2 linked regions of the Struthio camelus genome follow. The protein of the gene in region 1 interacts with the protein of each later gene in a pairwise test. Links are inferred from orthologs where the notes say so. Each region holds a gene or a part of one and is shown in the gene's direction. Other genes may lie near its edges.

What was found. The genes of interacting proteins can lie anywhere in the genome.
Region 2: the proteins of TOP3B (region 1) and SPRED2 interact in binary tests that used the Homo sapiens proteins (3 or more experiments, as listed by UniProt). The link is inferred for Struthio camelus from reciprocal best matches to the Homo sapiens genes TOP3B and SPRED2.

What each region holds. Positions count from the first base shown.
Region 1 is NC_090958.1:10,356,073-10,363,691, forward strand, and holds the start of TOP3B (DNA topoisomerase 3-beta-1), read left to right. Parts: upstream 1-4,127; 5' UTR 4,128-4,221; intron 4,222-4,638; 5' UTR 4,639-4,749; coding exon 4,750-4,819; intron 4,820-5,557; coding exon 5,558-5,689; intron 5,690-6,718; coding exon 6,719-6,825; intron 6,826-7,619. UniProt on the Homo sapiens protein: Releases the supercoiling and torsional tension of DNA introduced during the DNA replication and transcription by transiently cleaving and rejoining one strand of the DNA duplex.
Region 2 is NC_090944.1:141,409,730-141,418,144, reverse strand, and holds the start of SPRED2 (sprouty-related, EVH1 domain-containing protein 2), read left to right. Parts: upstream 1-5,014; 5' UTR 5,015-5,172; coding exon 5,173-5,219; intron 5,220-8,415. UniProt on the Homo sapiens protein: Negatively regulates Ras signaling pathways and downstream activation of MAP kinases. Recruits and translocates NF1 to the cell membrane, thereby enabling NF1-dependent hydrolysis of active GTP-bound Ras to inactive GDP-bound Ras.

The sequences.
Region 1 (7,619 bases):
CTGGCTAAAGGCGGCATTTCCTATTGACATAAAAGCAACCAGAGTGAATACAAGGGCACAAAAAGGGGGGTTGGGGAGGTTGAGGGTTTTTTTTGGTTTTGTTTAACTTGTCATCTGGGTCTGTTCAGTGTTGTCCCTGGAGAGAGTGACAGGGCAAGTCAGAGGCTGAGGGCCTTCTGCCATGGTGATGGAAGCCGTACAAGCTGAGGAGAGATGGAGAGGTCTGGTAACCAGCCAGGAGGGCTGAGCACTGAGGAGAGAACCAGAAATCCCATTTTTATTCTGATTTGGGATTTGACCCTTAATTGGCAATAATTTGTAAGCCCTCCCCCCCCCCCCATTTAGTGTGTAGGCCAGCTCTGTTGCACACTCATGTCCATTTCAGTAGCATGTGTCTTCTCAGGGTCCTTGGAAGGAAGCAAGACCTGCTCACAACTTGTAGAGCTCCCTGGCTGGTACTAGATATGCCGTTGGCTTTAATGGTCTGGTGACCTTCCAAACCATATTAGAAAAGTTGGACACTCCATAGCTCCTAGGCTGTGGCAGTTAGATGTTACAGAAACCTTCTAGAAACCAGTGTCTGTCCTGTTTGTGTTGGGAGACTCAACTGGCCAGGAACAGAGGCTGCAGCACAAAGACCACAGTCAGGTTTCAGGGATGTGGTGGAGGACCCAAGAGCACAAGACCTGTGTAGGTGGCCTCTGCCACTGCAGGGTGGCTCTGCTGTCTTCCTCCCACTGCAGGGACCATTCACATCAAACGTGCACAGAGGAGACCATGGAGACGTAGCTTTTGCTTCTAGGGAACACAAGAGTTTGTTACGCAAGCCTCGGACTTCATACTGCACATGGGCAGATCTGTGGCGTAGTCCTAGATACGGCAAAGCCTTCAAACAAGCAGCCAAGCAGGAAGGGTAACAGGAAGGCCAAGATGTCCCACCTCACTCTCACTATATCAGGATGGCAGCACCAGGCTCTGTGATCCTCTGTAGCTGTGGGAGTGATGCAGCTCCACTCTGGAAGAGTATGAGTGAGGCGAATGAGATCCTGCAAACGACTTTCCAAAACTGTCTTGTTCTGGTTGGGGATGCTTCAGGGGGACAAGTGTGACCTGATGCCCCAACGTACTCAATGGGTTAGGTCAAGGAGGGCTGTTGTACATGGCCTTTACTGGCCTGTATGGAAACCAGTGCTTCCTTCAGGTCAGGAAAATCCTTGTGTGGCCCAATAAACCAGCTAGACTAGCTTATGTGCCACCAAAAAGGCACACAGGGACTCCAGCTGCACACAGTCTCTCTGCCATGTATCCAAGAGGCCTGACTGCCCTTTCACAGGTGGGTCAGAGTGTGCATGTTGCATTGCACATTAGAAAAGAAAAGAAACGTTGTTGGATATTGTGGAGGGTTTTTAGTAGAGGAAATTGAAAAATATGTATGTGACATATCTGAAGACTTGGTTTGAACTTGCATCCTGATTATTCCAGATGTTCCCCAGATGTCAAAGGGAACCAGTCATTGAAACAGAAGAACACATTTGTTTTAACAAGTTCTAACTTCAGAATTGCCAAAGAATAAAAAGTCCTGAGTTTGTTTTGATTTTTTCTTTCACCAGTAACTTTAGTATCTATTGTCTACTAGTCTAATTGAGGGTGAATTTGTTCCGTTTTGTTCTAGATGGTGTGATGACGATACACATTCTATTCCTGGCTGCTTACCAATCTCTTCTCTCTGGGTTTGCATGGTATCCGAGCAACTCTTGGAAAGAAGAGCTATAAATATTGGGAACAAGAGATGTACACCACAGGGGTAAAACTAGGGAGCGGCTCTCCTGCACAAAGGGTTTATAAAACTGGTCTACTTGGGGCTTCACCCTTCAGCAAGTCACTTGACTGAAACATTTCAGGGCACGTAGAAGAGTGAGAGGTCATAGCAGAGGTCTGAAGCTGCTCTGATCTGCTGGTAAAACCTGCCTTAGTGGGGCCCACCATCCTTGAGGGGTGGCAGCGAGGGCAGAGGGCCTCTACTGCCCCTGCGTGGCGTGGGAAAAGGGTCCAGACCTGGAGAGGAGCAAGAGCTGGCTCAGGGCACCCTTTGGCCCCAAACTGGGGGAAATGAGGGGTGAATGGTGTGCTTCTGCCTGGGCCTTCCTCCTTTCCTTTCCCCTCCTTCCTCTCTCTCTTTCTCTCTGTTTGTTCTAAAGGAGCAATCAACATTCAACAAAAATTTAACATGAGAGAAGACATTTTTCAAGAATTTGTGATATAAATCCAAGATTTTTCAGAAATCAGGACTGTTTCTGTCACATCATCTGGGTGCAAGGAAATCAGGTGGCTCCTAACAGTCCTAGGACACATTTCTTTGCATTGAAGGAGCTGCTGTTAGTGACAGAGACTATTTATACTGTGAGTTTGAGTGTACGGAAACCAGAAAATGAATTATGGACTCTGTACAGTTGCACTGGTTTAACTTACGTTGCTTGAATAAAGCAGATACAGCTTTTGGACATGGATTTTTCTTGCAGGGGTTTGATTATATTTGTTTTGTTTGTACCTTTGATAACAACCAAATTTAAAGTGAGAGGAGAAATCAGTGCATAGCTGGACTGATCTAAGGGAGTGAGTACAAAATTGCTTTTTGGTTCCAGTGGAAGAACTTTGTGCATGGACTGGGAGAAGGAAACAGCGGTGGTAAATTTTTCTGGTGCTTTGGTGTCCAGTAAATATCTAATATCAATTCCCTATTGTGAGCTTATCCATTTCCTATTCCTATTGGGAATTGCATTCGCATGCTTATTGTGAGGATCACCAAAGCATTTAGAAACATTCCTGTTAAATCTGTTAGTGGAATCTAGTTTACTTGTGCAAGAAGACAGGACGAGGATCAAGGATGGGAGGTGCGCGCACGTGTGTATACCTGCCCTCTCCTGGGCAGAGGCGGAGGTGCCCAGGAGCTCTCCTGTATGGCGCTCTCCTTTTGAAGTCAGTAATTTTCGTTCATTATGACTGAAATTAATGTTTTGAGAGACAAAATACTAGCTATCTTCTCTGCTGTATTCAATTCCCCTGCAAGGGGCTTACAACAAGGATAGAGGCACGGGCTGCTGTGGCAAAGGTGGTTGCAAGGCACCCATAAATAGACTGGATTTGATTTATCAAACCAGGTTTGATTATTTACAGTTTTTCAGGTGAGGCCAACAGCAAGGAGCAGAGCCTTTGTAGCTCTCTATTTCCCTCACGGAGATCCCACACTTTGTCTCGCGCTCATTTTGCAGCAGCATGTAAAGCGTTTTTTATGCCGTGCAAAAAGCACGACAACGAAGGACGAGGCTGCGACTACTCCTGGCGCTCTAGCTCCTGATGAGGCGCATTAAGAGTTATTAACCAGCACGGCCGGGGTGGCTGGCAGGGCTGCTCGCATTCGGTCAGGGAGACGCAGGTAAAGCCACGTAGCTTGCCCGAGGCCATTCTGACCGGACTTGGAGAGGAAACGTCGACGCGGACCGTCGTGCTGGGGACGGGGACGTTTCGGCCAGGCCAGGTGGTGGCCACAGCAGCCTCCTGCTGCTGGAAGAGGCAGGTTGCCACCGCAGCGAGACCTGAAGGAGGTGAGGCCTGGCCCTCCGGCGCCGGCGAAGCCAGCGGCACGAACGCAAACGCGGCGACGCCGAGACCCCGCCAGCACCGGGGCCGATTTATGGCAAAGCCCGCAGCCCTCCCCCACAACCCCCTCACAGGCGCCCTCCCGTCCCACCCCCTTCACACCCTCCTCGCACCCTCTCACACACACCCCCCTTCAACCCCCCTCACACACCCCCACAGCCCCTTCACATCCCTCACCCACGCACCCTCCTCACACCCCCCCACCCCTTCACACACGCTCCTCCCTGCCCTCCGCGCTCCTTCTCACTCCCACCGCCCCCACACCCCATGTACCCCCTCACGCACACGCCAAAGCCCCATACACACCCCATTTACCCCTACACACACCCCTCGTAACCCCCTCACACCCCATACACCCCCCATTTCCACCCAGCCCGCCCCTCGCGCCGCCAGGGGGCGCCGGGGAAGGGGCGGGGGGAGCCGCGCGGTTCCCGCCGAGGGGGCGGGGAGCGCCGCGCCCGCCCTTTCCCGCTTCCCCCCGGGGCGGCGCCGGCCACCTCCCCCTCCGCGCCTTCCGGCTCCGTGACCCGGCAGTGCAAGCGGAGGCGATGGCCGCCCGCTGAGGTTGTGGCGCGGCGGGGACGGGAGCGGCGGCGGCCGGGACGGAGCGGGGGGGAGGGGGGGGCGGAGTCGCCGCCCCGCACTTCACCTCGGTGAGGCCGGGCCGCTTCCCGCCGCCGCCTCCCCGCGGGGGACTCGAACCCGCGGCCCCTGAGGGGCGGCCGCGCCCGGCGGCGGGAAGCGGAGCGGGGCCGGCGCGGCCCGGGGGCGGCTGCCCCGCGGGGCCCCTTGAGGCGCGCGGGCCCCGGCCGCTGCTCAGGGCGGTGGCGCCGCCGGTCGCCCCGGGGCGGCCCCTGCCCCCTGCGGGGCCGTTAGGAGCTGCGAAATCTGCCCTTGCGCCGAGTTTTGGCAGCGCTCCTAGGGTTTTTTCCCCTAGAGGTGGTTTTGTAGTACACGCTGTTCTGTGCTTTCTCTCCCTAGAGTGAGAATTAACCCCGTGAGAGCAGGTTTTCGTCCCTGAGCTGAGCGCTGCGGCCTCCAGCAAACCCAGATCGCACCGTCGAGCTCTGTGGCGCGTCTCCTCGGCTGAAAATGAAGACCGTGCTGATGGTTGCAGAGAAACCTTCCCTGGCTCAGTCCATCGCCAAGATCCTCTCGCGGGGTAGGGACGAGAGCGTGTTGGTTTCGGCCCTACTGCTTGTCGTCCGGCCGGTCTAAGTCCTCTAGGACTCCCAGGCTTTACTGAGGAAATGCGTGTAGGTTGAGTAGGGACATGATGCAAAGGCTTCCCCGTGGTGAAATGAGGTGGGAAACCCCCTGGACAGCTGCTTTCTTGTCTTTGGAGCAGCTGTCACTGAGAGCACTGTGGTAGGACGGGTTCCAGTCCATAAAGTACCTGGATGGCATTCCACGTTTTGTTTGGTTTTGTTTTGTTTTTTTTTTTGTCTGCTAACACCTGTTCAATCCCAGGGTAAATGAGCCTGCTTTTATTTAGTGTAGCGGCAGTGTGCATTAGTGCGTACGGTTTCTGGAAAGCGCCGGTTAAGTAGCAAGTTGTTGTTCTGAGATTTTTGAAATATCTTATAAGTCATGGAAAACAGAATGAGTATAGTTGTACTGATCCAGAAAAGAAGAAGTCTTTTCATAAGAATTTCCTGGTGGGAAGAAAAACACAGAGGAGATCCTGGATAATTTCAACTGGAAATGAAATATGCTAAGAAAGGCCCAAAGTGATAACTGGCTGGAGAAGAACTTGGTTGAAGAGTGGAAGCCTGTGATCAGGAAGACCGTACCTGTGAGATCTAGAAAAAAGGGGGGAGGTAGCTGATTTCAGAAGAGGTAATGCCTCTTTCTTTGAATAGTTTTTTTTAGCCTGTTGATATTTATGTTCTTCTCACAGGAAACATGTCCTCTCGCAAAGGACTGAATGGTGCGTGTTCTGTGCATGAGTACGCTGGATCATTTGTAGGACAGAGCGCCCATTTCAAGATGACATCTGTGTGTGGTCACGTGATGACTTTGGATTTCATAGGTGTGTGTCTGTTCATAACCTTTTTTAACTGATATGGCTTGCAAAACTGTCTTGGGACTTCTAGTGGGAAAATGCTGATTGTGAAAATGACTCAGAGAGTTAGCATTAGAGCGGAAATGGGGATGAAAGGGTCACTAATGGTCAGCAGTTCTGATTTTTCTTTCTAGTTCTGTAGCTGACTTCTTGTATCACCTTAGGCAGAACGCTTATCTTTTCTGTGCCTCAGTGATGTTACCAGAAAATAAGGGGATATGAAGCTCAGTGTGCCAGCCTGTAAAAATGTTTTGGTGTTCTTGAAGGAAAGATAATTAAGGAATGCAGAGTCTAAAGGGAGACTGTCTAATACATCGTAGTGTATTTTGGTAAAGTGGAGATATGGTAAGGGTCATGTGCAAGGGTTCTGGTCACTAACTTGCTTTGAAATATTGGACTAGCCATGTGACTATTTCCTCTCATGCTAACTACCTCACAAGTTTGATGAGGACTAATTCTTGAGTTGTTTACACAGTACGTTAGAGAGGTACGGTGTCATGTAGTTGCTAAGTAATATTACTAACAGTTAGTTCAGAGATACAGAAATGAACAAATGCACCGATACTACAAGATGACACAGGATGCTCCATGATAGACATTTATTTGCAGGGCTGAGACATAACTGGCCATATGTAATGAACAGTAGAACAGACTATAACGTGTACATTTTATGTGCATGGTGAAAACAAGGAAAAAGCTCCTTCCTTTGGCCATGTCAGTTGGTTGTACTAACAGAAGATATTTTAACAGCTCGTGTTATCATTTCTGAAAGGTGTCTAGTATTTTTTTTCCCCCTTCATGTGTCATGTTTCAAAGTAATAGCTGCAATTCACATAAAGAGCTAAAGACTTAAAGCAAGACACGTTAGAGTAGAAAGGTTTCCATGACAGATTTTGAAAACCAGCTGTTTTGCAAAGTTTTATACATATGTATATGTGTGTGTGTGTGAGTGTATATTTAATTTAGAACTCTAGCTAATATACTTCTATTTTTCAGGAAAATATAACAGCTGGGACAAAGTAGATCCAGCAGAACTTTTTAGCAAAGCCCCTACAGAAAAGAAAGAAGCTAATCCCAAACTGACCATGGTGAAATTTTTACAGGTACTCTCTCTTATGAGATACATTCCATCTTCAGGGATTCATTGGCTCTATTCTTCTTCTGTTGGACACAAAACAATGAGATCCATTTTTATCTTGCCAAGAAAAATAAGTGAAGTTATTCTGTGGTTGTGGAAAGCAACACAAATTACTAATAAATTTGAAAGAACAGTATAGCATGTTGCTATGAGTTAGCCTTGCTTTTTTAAATTTTTTGCTTATGGTTACCTAGCACTATTTCAGAAACAGAAGCGTACTCATCTCCAGGCTCTTAGAGTAAGTCAGTTAGCTTCCCTTTACAATAAGGAATTGAGTCTGTCTTCACCACAGATAAGTTTCCTTTTGGAAGGTAATACCAGAGGAGTCTGTGTCCTTTAAAACGTTTGTTACATATCTTCCCTCTAAGAAGGCAGGAAGGCTATCTGCATGAACTGTTGTTTCTCACATTGCACATTGTTAAATGTTTGATTCAGTAGATGTCTTTTCCCACTTCCCAAAAGTGGACAGTGTCTGGCAATATGCCATACAATATGCTAGAGTCCTGTCTAGATTCAGAGAAATGAGTACATTAAGGGTTTGCTTCCCTGGAGGAAGCAGCCTTTTGGCAAGATTAGATATATGTTTGTTAATTTAATTGGTTCTTAAGCTGTTTCAAATCTTTGCCTCGTTGAATTGACTTTTGTCTTTGCCTTCTGTTTCTTGGCTCTTGGTATCTTACTCCTCAAAACTGGAACGCTGGACACATGCGTTACTTCTTAAAGCTCATACAAGGCCTAGCTTGTAAATGGCTTCCTTAA
Region 2 (8,415 bases), on another chromosome or scaffold:
ATTTCAAGAAACCCCGCTTTTGTTCTGGGAGAAGGTAAAAGAGCACACATGGTTTCGTGAATGTAGCAACTAACGAAACTAGGTTTCTCCCAGCTCGTGACTCACGGCTGCCAGCAAGCGCTAGTCAATGCCTCCCCTGCTGCTGGCTCGTTGCTATTGCCCAGCGGATCCGGCGGCGTCCAGAAAGGGCCGAGCTCCTGCTCCACCTCTTCTTTCAGTTAGAAGCACCGAGTCGCTCCTCTAACCAGCCAGTTAACTTCATTCGAGCCGGTGAGCGCTCAGTTATTTCCGAGATCCCTGCTCTCCTTCCCCGTGCTTCCCCTCCACTCCTTCCCCTCGGGCCTCCAGCCTCGAGGTTTCAGAAACGGCACAAAGAGGGTGCGTGCCTGCAGCAGCAAAAAGATCACGTTCGCTTTGCTGTTGGGGCAATGAAGGGCGGTTTCTGTCCAGTAATAAAACACGTCGCAATAAAAAATGAGAAACCTAGAAAACAGTGGGACAGCCAGATCTTGGGCAAAGCAGCCTGTTTGGCAATGAGGGTCCCTTTCTGCTTTCCTCTTCTGGTCTTGCAGTCCGTAAAAGACTGTCCCAGTAAGACTGTGAGGATCACTCTAGTTCCTCTTCCCTGGCAGGTGACAGAAACACTTGTGACAATTCTCCAAACCACATAGCGAAATCCCACTGCTGCTGAAAAAGGCTTTGTATTTCCAGACTCCGTGACCTACAGAAACGTCTCAAAGCTGAAAGCTTTCAACCTGGCTGAAAATGTTTCAGATCATTTCTGTAGCTCTTAAATTCCGAGCGATTAGAATGGGGAAAAACACGGCTGTTATCACTGCTTTTAAAATATGATTGCTGCTCGAAAGAATTACGGGGGGTGGAGGGTAATTGTCTGGAGGACAGAGTGATTCAGGACTACTGACTTCCACTCCTCGCTCATTCAAAGTCGCAGAGTGAGTCAGTGGAAAAGTCATTTAAACTAGCACATTGAACATGGTACCGATATTCATATTTAGATTCCTAACTCAACAGCACGGAAGGTTTCAGCTCAAAAGTGCATTATTTAAAGGCGAGTGTATGTGAAGGTAATAGGTGACACTGGAAGTCTGCAATAAACGCCATACTAAACTTTGCTCCTTCAAATACCATCGCTTTTCAGCTAAAATCAGCTAACGCTCTAACAGCACTTGGCGAGGTCCATTTTCAGGCCAAACACAAAACAACGTCCATACACCAGGTTCTCTGCAACAGTCGAAATACAAACAGTAAATTTTCCTTTCAAACCCAAAATGCAGAATACTCCTAGCACGCAAATCATTAGTATGCAGGAGCTGCTGTCTTGAAGCACTGCCACCAATGGCTAATTAATTCTAGGTACTGTAACGATCACATCACAGGGAAAACACCACTCTGCGCGTAAGCAGGAACTCTGTATACAAACACTGGAATCCACAAGCAGAAATTGCACCTCTGAGAGCCTTTTCATTCAGCAAAGTCACTCCTTTTTGAAGAGCTACTCACAAGAACCCACCCGTGTGGTAACTGCAATATTAGAAAAAACAAATTCAGTATTTATCCGCTGTAAAGGCATATACACAATAGTAACAGGGTTGCACGGTGACAGAAATCATTCCAAGAACATATATCTTAGCAACTTCCAAATTAACATGACAGTGAGAGCAGAGATCAGATGTGAGATCCTGCAAATCCAGAGGCTTAAGCAACTAGATCTAGCAAAACTTCCGCTTCAAAGCCTCGGACACTTTTGCATCTAACCATTGTGGCAAATACATATACATGCCCATACAAAATGCATAAAAAGTCACTCAGGTCACAAAGTCAAGCTTGCAAGCATTAATAAACGCTGTAAAAAGACAGCCTGGGTACCCCGGTCCTCCTCAGCTGCATACGCGTTACGATAGCCTTTTAATTACATGATTGCATGCTAGTTTGGTTTTTCCACATGGCCATAACTCCTGGCTTATTCTGGTTCTGCGGTAGCTCACTACTAAAAACCATACTCACCACTTCACTCACATCTGTGCTCTTGTTGAACACAGATTTTTGTCAAAAAAAAGTTAGAAGCCTGTGTAATCTCAGCATCATTTGGGGAGGGGGGAAGGGGATAGGTGGAAGAGTGTCAGATCATTACATCTGGGCTTTTATGGTGTAACAGCTTAAGAAGTTCCTGCTATTTCCTTGCCCCCGACCGTTTCTTCCTGCCTCGACACTTCCTTTCAGTGCCAGCGCAGTTTTGCCAAGATGCTTATCATGCCATTCTGAAAACCGGATCCCCGAATAACTTTCCAAAATCAAGGGGCATTAGGGGGTTATTATTAGCCTGGCCCATTGAACAGAGCCAATCAATAGCATAACTCCGCAGAGGGATGCTTTAGCACAACTAAGCGGGCGTCAAACCGGGCTTTGCGTGGGAATGACTGGATGAGAAGGGGGCCGGAGACAGGCAGCTTTGCCACCCCGACGAGCGCGCCGCAGGCTGCTGCCGGGAGGAAAGCAAGCTCACGCTCTCAAGCGTTATACAGCGCTAGCAGTAACGGAAAGCAATGCTGCTAGTGTCACAGGCTGAACCTCTAGCAATTAAAAATACATGACTTTAATATCATAATGTGACCAAAGCTGTGGATTCTGATACCATCTCCAAAGGACGCTCTGCTTCCCTTTGGGTGTAAGCAGCACATAAAGAAGACCTCAAAGCTTTAAGTGACTTTTGCCTCCAGGAATGGATGCCAGCAAGTTACTAGCAGGCCACGAGTTTCTTCCAACTTTCCACTTCTGATCCTGAAAAGAGAATTTAGACCATTTAGGATCTGAAACCAACAGAGCAGAAACGCACAGACCCTTTCCACCGGCCGCCCTGCCGAATCCAAGCACTCCTTTAAAACTAAGGCCAGCAGACTAGATTTGAAAGGTAAATTGGTAGCTGCCTTCCTCCACGTGGAGGCCAAATACCCCCCTGCACGGCGATCCCAGCGCCTTTGCTCAGACAGGACATCTCCCACGCGCCATCAGCAGAGATCCTGCAGCCGAGGAGCTCATGGATGCCAGAAGGGAGAGGCAACATGTTTGGGTGGGACAGAGACTTCTTTTCCTGGGATCGCTCCGTTCATCGGAGCTGATGAAGAAAGCAAAACCAAAACTTACATCTAGTCACTCACCTTCACGGCCAAACCTTCTTTCCAAGAGTTGGGCAGTGATAAAAAACATTGACTTATCGGGCTTGCGCTCGCTGCCGCATCCCACCACCCCACCAAGACAAGGGGTTGCGGAACCGCGTGTAGGTCGTGAAACTATGCCTTGAAACCCAGAAGAAAGAGAGAAAAGCGCTGCTTACCTAAGGAAAGGCATAGAGGACGCACTCTGGCCACCTGGGCAGGACAAGCCGTTCAACACCTTCGGCTTTGGACGTTTCTGCAAACGGAGGTGCCTGGCAACAGAGGATCACCTCATCGCTCTCCTCCCTTTCTTCTCCTACCCACAGCAACTCGGGCAGACCTCAGTGCCCAGTTTGCAGTGCAGCTGGGCACCTCCAAAAGAAACACTGAGAAGGATCAGAACGACGGTGCTCAAGGAGATGCTTTTTCCTCCAGCACGGGCACAAAATCTTACACGAGTGTAACGTCCGCTCCTCCCCCCTTCTCAAGCAACGACACTGACTTCTCAGAAACTCTTCTTCTGCTATGGTTACGCTATTAAAAAAAAAATCTTCCTGCACATATTGCATAGTGTTACTAACCTGCAGAAAAGTAGATCCTTACTCAGGGCGTCCTCCTATGGCTATGAGCTAAGTGGAGCACCTACTGCTGCGAGCAGCCCCATCGACAGGAGCATGTCTTGCTGCAGAGCGAGCAGGATCAGGCTTACTTATTACACAAGGTGAAGTATTCATTCTGCGCCCTTTAAAGTATACAGCAATCATGACTTATTTCCCCATGTGAAAGTATTTTACAGCGTGCCTTCAGGGAAAGTACTTTATGGATACCCACATACAATAGAGTTATGACAGCAAGCGGGGAGAGAAATAGTCCAGAAAAGCCAGCCTGCTGCTTCAGCTGGAAGTAAAGCACAAGCGCACTGCGGCGTGCCGGCAGGACACCTTGGCGTTGCGCCGGCAGGACACCTTGGCGTTGCCTCGAGCCAGGCCCCGGGGTTCGCCGGCCTGACGAAACGCAGCGCTGGGCGCGGGAAGCCGGGCAGCTCTCGCCTCTGCTCCGCGGGGCACCTGCAGGCGCCTCATCGCCTGCGACGCCCAGACATTAGCAATGACCACGCTAAGTAGCGCCAGGCCGGACGCGAGCGCGTCACCTTGGCCGCTCGTGCTGGGCTGAACCGAGCCGAGTCGGACCGAACCGAGCCGAGTCGGGCCGAGCTGAGCAGAGCGAAAACGAGCTGAGTAGGGCCGGGCTGAACGGAGGAGCCAAGTCAGGCCGAGCCGAGCCAGGCCAAACTGAGCCGAACCAGTCGGGGCTGAGCTGAGCTGCACCAAGACGGGCCAAACCAAGCTGAGTCGGGCTGAGCCGAGCTCAACCGAACGGAGCCGAGCCGAGCCGAGCCGAGGCGGGCGGCGGCCGCGCCCCGGGCGCTGCGCTGCGCTGCGCCGCGCTGCGCCGCGGGGGCCGGGGGGGCCGGGCCGGGCCGGGCCGCGCCGCCGCGGGGGAGGCGCCACTCGCGGGCGCGTCCCCTCCTTCCTCGCCGCCGCCGCGGCTCGCTGCCTGCCCGGCTCCCGGCGCTGCCCTGCCCGCTCCCGGCGGCCGCTCGGCAGCGCCGCCGCCGCTTCCAGCCGGGGCCGGGGCCGGGGCCGCCGCCGCCCGCGGCGCCCGGCCATGGCGTGAGCGCGGCCATGGCGCTGGCCCGGCGCCGCCGCCTGCCGCCGGGCGCCGCGCCGCTCCCCCGGGCCCGCGCCCCGGGCCGCCGCCGCCGCCGCGCCCCGCCGCGCCCCCGCGGCGCGCTGACCGCCGCCTCTCCTCCCCCTGCCGCCGCCTCTTCCTCCTCCTCCTCCTCGGCCCGGCGACGAGCGAGGCCGTAGCACCCCCCGCCGCCGCCGCCGCCGCCGCACACGCTCCCGCGCCGTCGGGCCCGGCGCGGCCGCGGCCTCCCCCGCCATGTGAAGCGCAGGAAGATGCGGAGGCGCAGCCCGGCCGCCCGCGGCGAGGGATGAGCCTAGACGGGGAGAAGATGACCGAGGACGCCTACCCGGACGAGTGAGCGGGGCGCCGCGGGCGGGCGGGGAGGCGGGGCGGGGGGGGGCACCGCCGGGGGGCCCCTTTGTTGCCCCGGCGGGGAGGCCGCCGCGGCCCCCCCGGGCACTCGCGCACACACACACACACACACACACACACACACACGCACGTCCGTGTGTGTGCGCTGCAGCCCGCACATCCGCCATTTCGCTCGCTCTCTCCCTCTCTTCCCCCCCCCTCCGCACCGGTCTCATTTGCATACCGCATTTTCATTCATAAAAAACCCCCGAGAGCACTAAGCCCGGTGGGGCTGCCCCGGGGGCGGCTTTTCGCGTCGCCGCCTGCCGTGCGGCGGCGGCGGAAGGGGCGGAGGGGCCCCGGGGCCCCCCTCGGGGCCTGGCCGCACGGCTGCCCGCCGGCCCGGCCCGGCCCGGCCCGCTCGCCGAGCCGGCGGGGCTGCCCGCCCTCCCCTCCTCTCCGCCGGAGGGGGGGGGCGGCGGCGCTGGCAGTGGCGCGGGGCCCCGCCGCGGCCGCCGCCGTTTTGTGAATAGGAGGGCGGCCGCGGCCGTCACGTGACGCCGCATTCATAAATCCGGTCACCGGCGGCGCCCCATTCACTGCCCCCCGCCCGGCCCGGCGGTAACGGCGGCCCCGCTTCTCTCGCGTGTATATCTGTGTACATGGATTTACATATATACCGACATATATGTGTACCTATATACACACATGCATGCCTATATATATTTTTATATTTGGCCTCCGCTGTGCTGCTCGTACTCCCTCCCCCCCCCCCCAGTGTCACACTGACTGCGGTGTGTGACCGGTTGCTTGGGCTTTTCCGAGCAACGGGCTTGGATGTGACAGCGTGTTGAACTAGGGCGCGTGTTATCTTTTGTGCAAGTCCGGGGCCTAGCAATGCCTCTGCAGAGCGAGCTAGGCGCTTGTGAGGTGCACCGGGCACTGCGTGCGTGAGTTTGGGAGCATCTTCTGGCGTGATGCTTGCGTTTTATTAATGCAGGGGTAAAGCCGGAACAGAATCTCTCCCAGGTGGCACGGCTTCTTTCCATAAATGCTGTCCGGTTTGGCCTGGCCGCAGTTGACACAGCTAGGGAATAGACGAACGTTCCTGGATCTCCCTGCACGTAAATCCTCTTGAGATGCTGTGTCTGAGGTTGCAAAATGACTGACGGTGCTTTTTCCCAAAATGAAATTAAGAAAGATGTTAGTACAGAATTACAGGAACAAATTTAAAGATGTACTCACCAAAACATTGTTTCTGGCTATCTCTTTTTGGTTTGACAGTCAGAAAAATGACTCACTGCATACAAGACTGGTTTAATGCCAAATACCATAGGATGTACCATGCTTTAAACTGACTTCTCTCAGGGCTTACAAAGCATTCTAAACGTTGTGCAACTTCCATTCTGTTTTAGAGTCAAAATTTAATTGGCAGCGTGTGCTGTGCTGTACCTTAATAACATAAAACTAATTTTAACATGATTTACTATAGAAAAGTTAGTGGCAAAGGAAATGGCTTCTGACTACAGCACATGTATTAAGGGGAATTGTATTTTTGGCACTTCTTAATGAAGAGACTATAAATATATGTTATATGTAGCTTCTGAAGTTGTGGTTATTTTGAAGTCAGTACGGTTCTTCCAAAAAAACAAAAATTCGGTTTCTCTTACAGATTGCCATGACCTAGTCGGCTGGAAAATGTGGCAAACTTGTTTCCAATAAAAACCGTACAGTTCTTGGTCTGGTTCTTGGTTTCATTTCTCAAATTGGAGAATGGAGAGAGGAGGAGAGGTGGGTTCATATATAGTCTTAGGAGTGCAGAACCAAACCTAATTTCCTCACTTCAGTGGACAAAGGCTGGTAGTCTCGATGTATACCTGTATGTTCACATCCAAGTGTGGGGACAGTGAGGACTGGCGGAGGTAGCTCTGAACGTATTTTCCTGGGGGACTTGGTGCAACGATGAGCGAGCACTGGTGTAAACCACCGTAGTGGCACACGGAGAGGTCTTGGCTCTGGCTTTTTTTTTTCATTGTAGGCTGCAGTTTGTTTTGGAATAAATTCTTCCTCCACGCGCTCCCGTTGCTCCCATGCTGAAGAGCAGGAGGCTTCATCTAATTGGTTTAATGTACTTCCTCTTTGACTTGGGGAGGGAGGATCTAATGTCATGCTGCCTTTCCTGTGGTCACTGTTGAACTGAACGAAGTTGTGTTTTGGTCATTGCTGAAGCAGAGGACTGCAAGGAAGTTTTGTGGGAGATTGGGAGCGCTGGGAGCTCCTGGAAACTGGTCCTGAACCACCTTCCCAGTCGAGCATTACTATTTTCTTGGCTGCTGGAGCTGTTGACTTTCAGGGCAAATGAAGCGCAGAGGTGGTCGTTACCCGTCCCGAGCCACTGTTTCTAAGACTAATAACATCCTTGCTGTTGAAACGTTGTGCTGGTTGCAGCACAATTCAGGCCTTTATGTTGCAGGGCATAGTTAGGTATTTTGGGTAAGCCATGGTTTCCTTTGTAAGTTCTTCACTTCCAAGCTTGCATTGATTGATAGTGTTGCTGAAGCTAGTGACTCATACGTTGTTTTTCATTTCGGTGGTGGGTGAAGTGATTTTTTTCAATATATATGGTGTTAAAAGAAATAAGGACAGGCTCTCCTGATAAGTTTTCTCAAGCTGTCAGAACAATGCTAGTATAGCATGCTATTTGCCCTAGATATCTGGCTTTAATTTGCATAGCTATTCTCATTTCACTGAGAGCACTGTGAGCAAATGTTAACAGCCAGATTACAAAAAAGGACCACTGACAGGATGCATTTTAAAATGACCTTCTCTGAGTAAATTAAAGGTGTGCGGGGGGGTGGATTTTCTTGCTGTTTTTGGCATTTTTCCTCTCCACCAGCTCTGTAACATTTTGAATTTGAAACAATTTGCAAAAGCAAGAAGGAAAAATGGGGCTTAGGATGCTGGAAACTCATTGGTTCCTTAATGACTGCACCATGTAAGATCAATACTTAGAGGTCAATTTGTCATTGCGAAGAGAGCGCCTCGTTCTGCTCCTGCAGCTTTCTTTCGGTTGCCTTCCTTCTCCCCTCCGCCGCTGTAGTTCTCGTGTGCGTGTCGGTGACTGCGGAGGGGGGGGGGACGGGGACGGGGACGGGACACCCTCGGTAATAAATACTGAAACGTTAAGCCGTGATGCTGA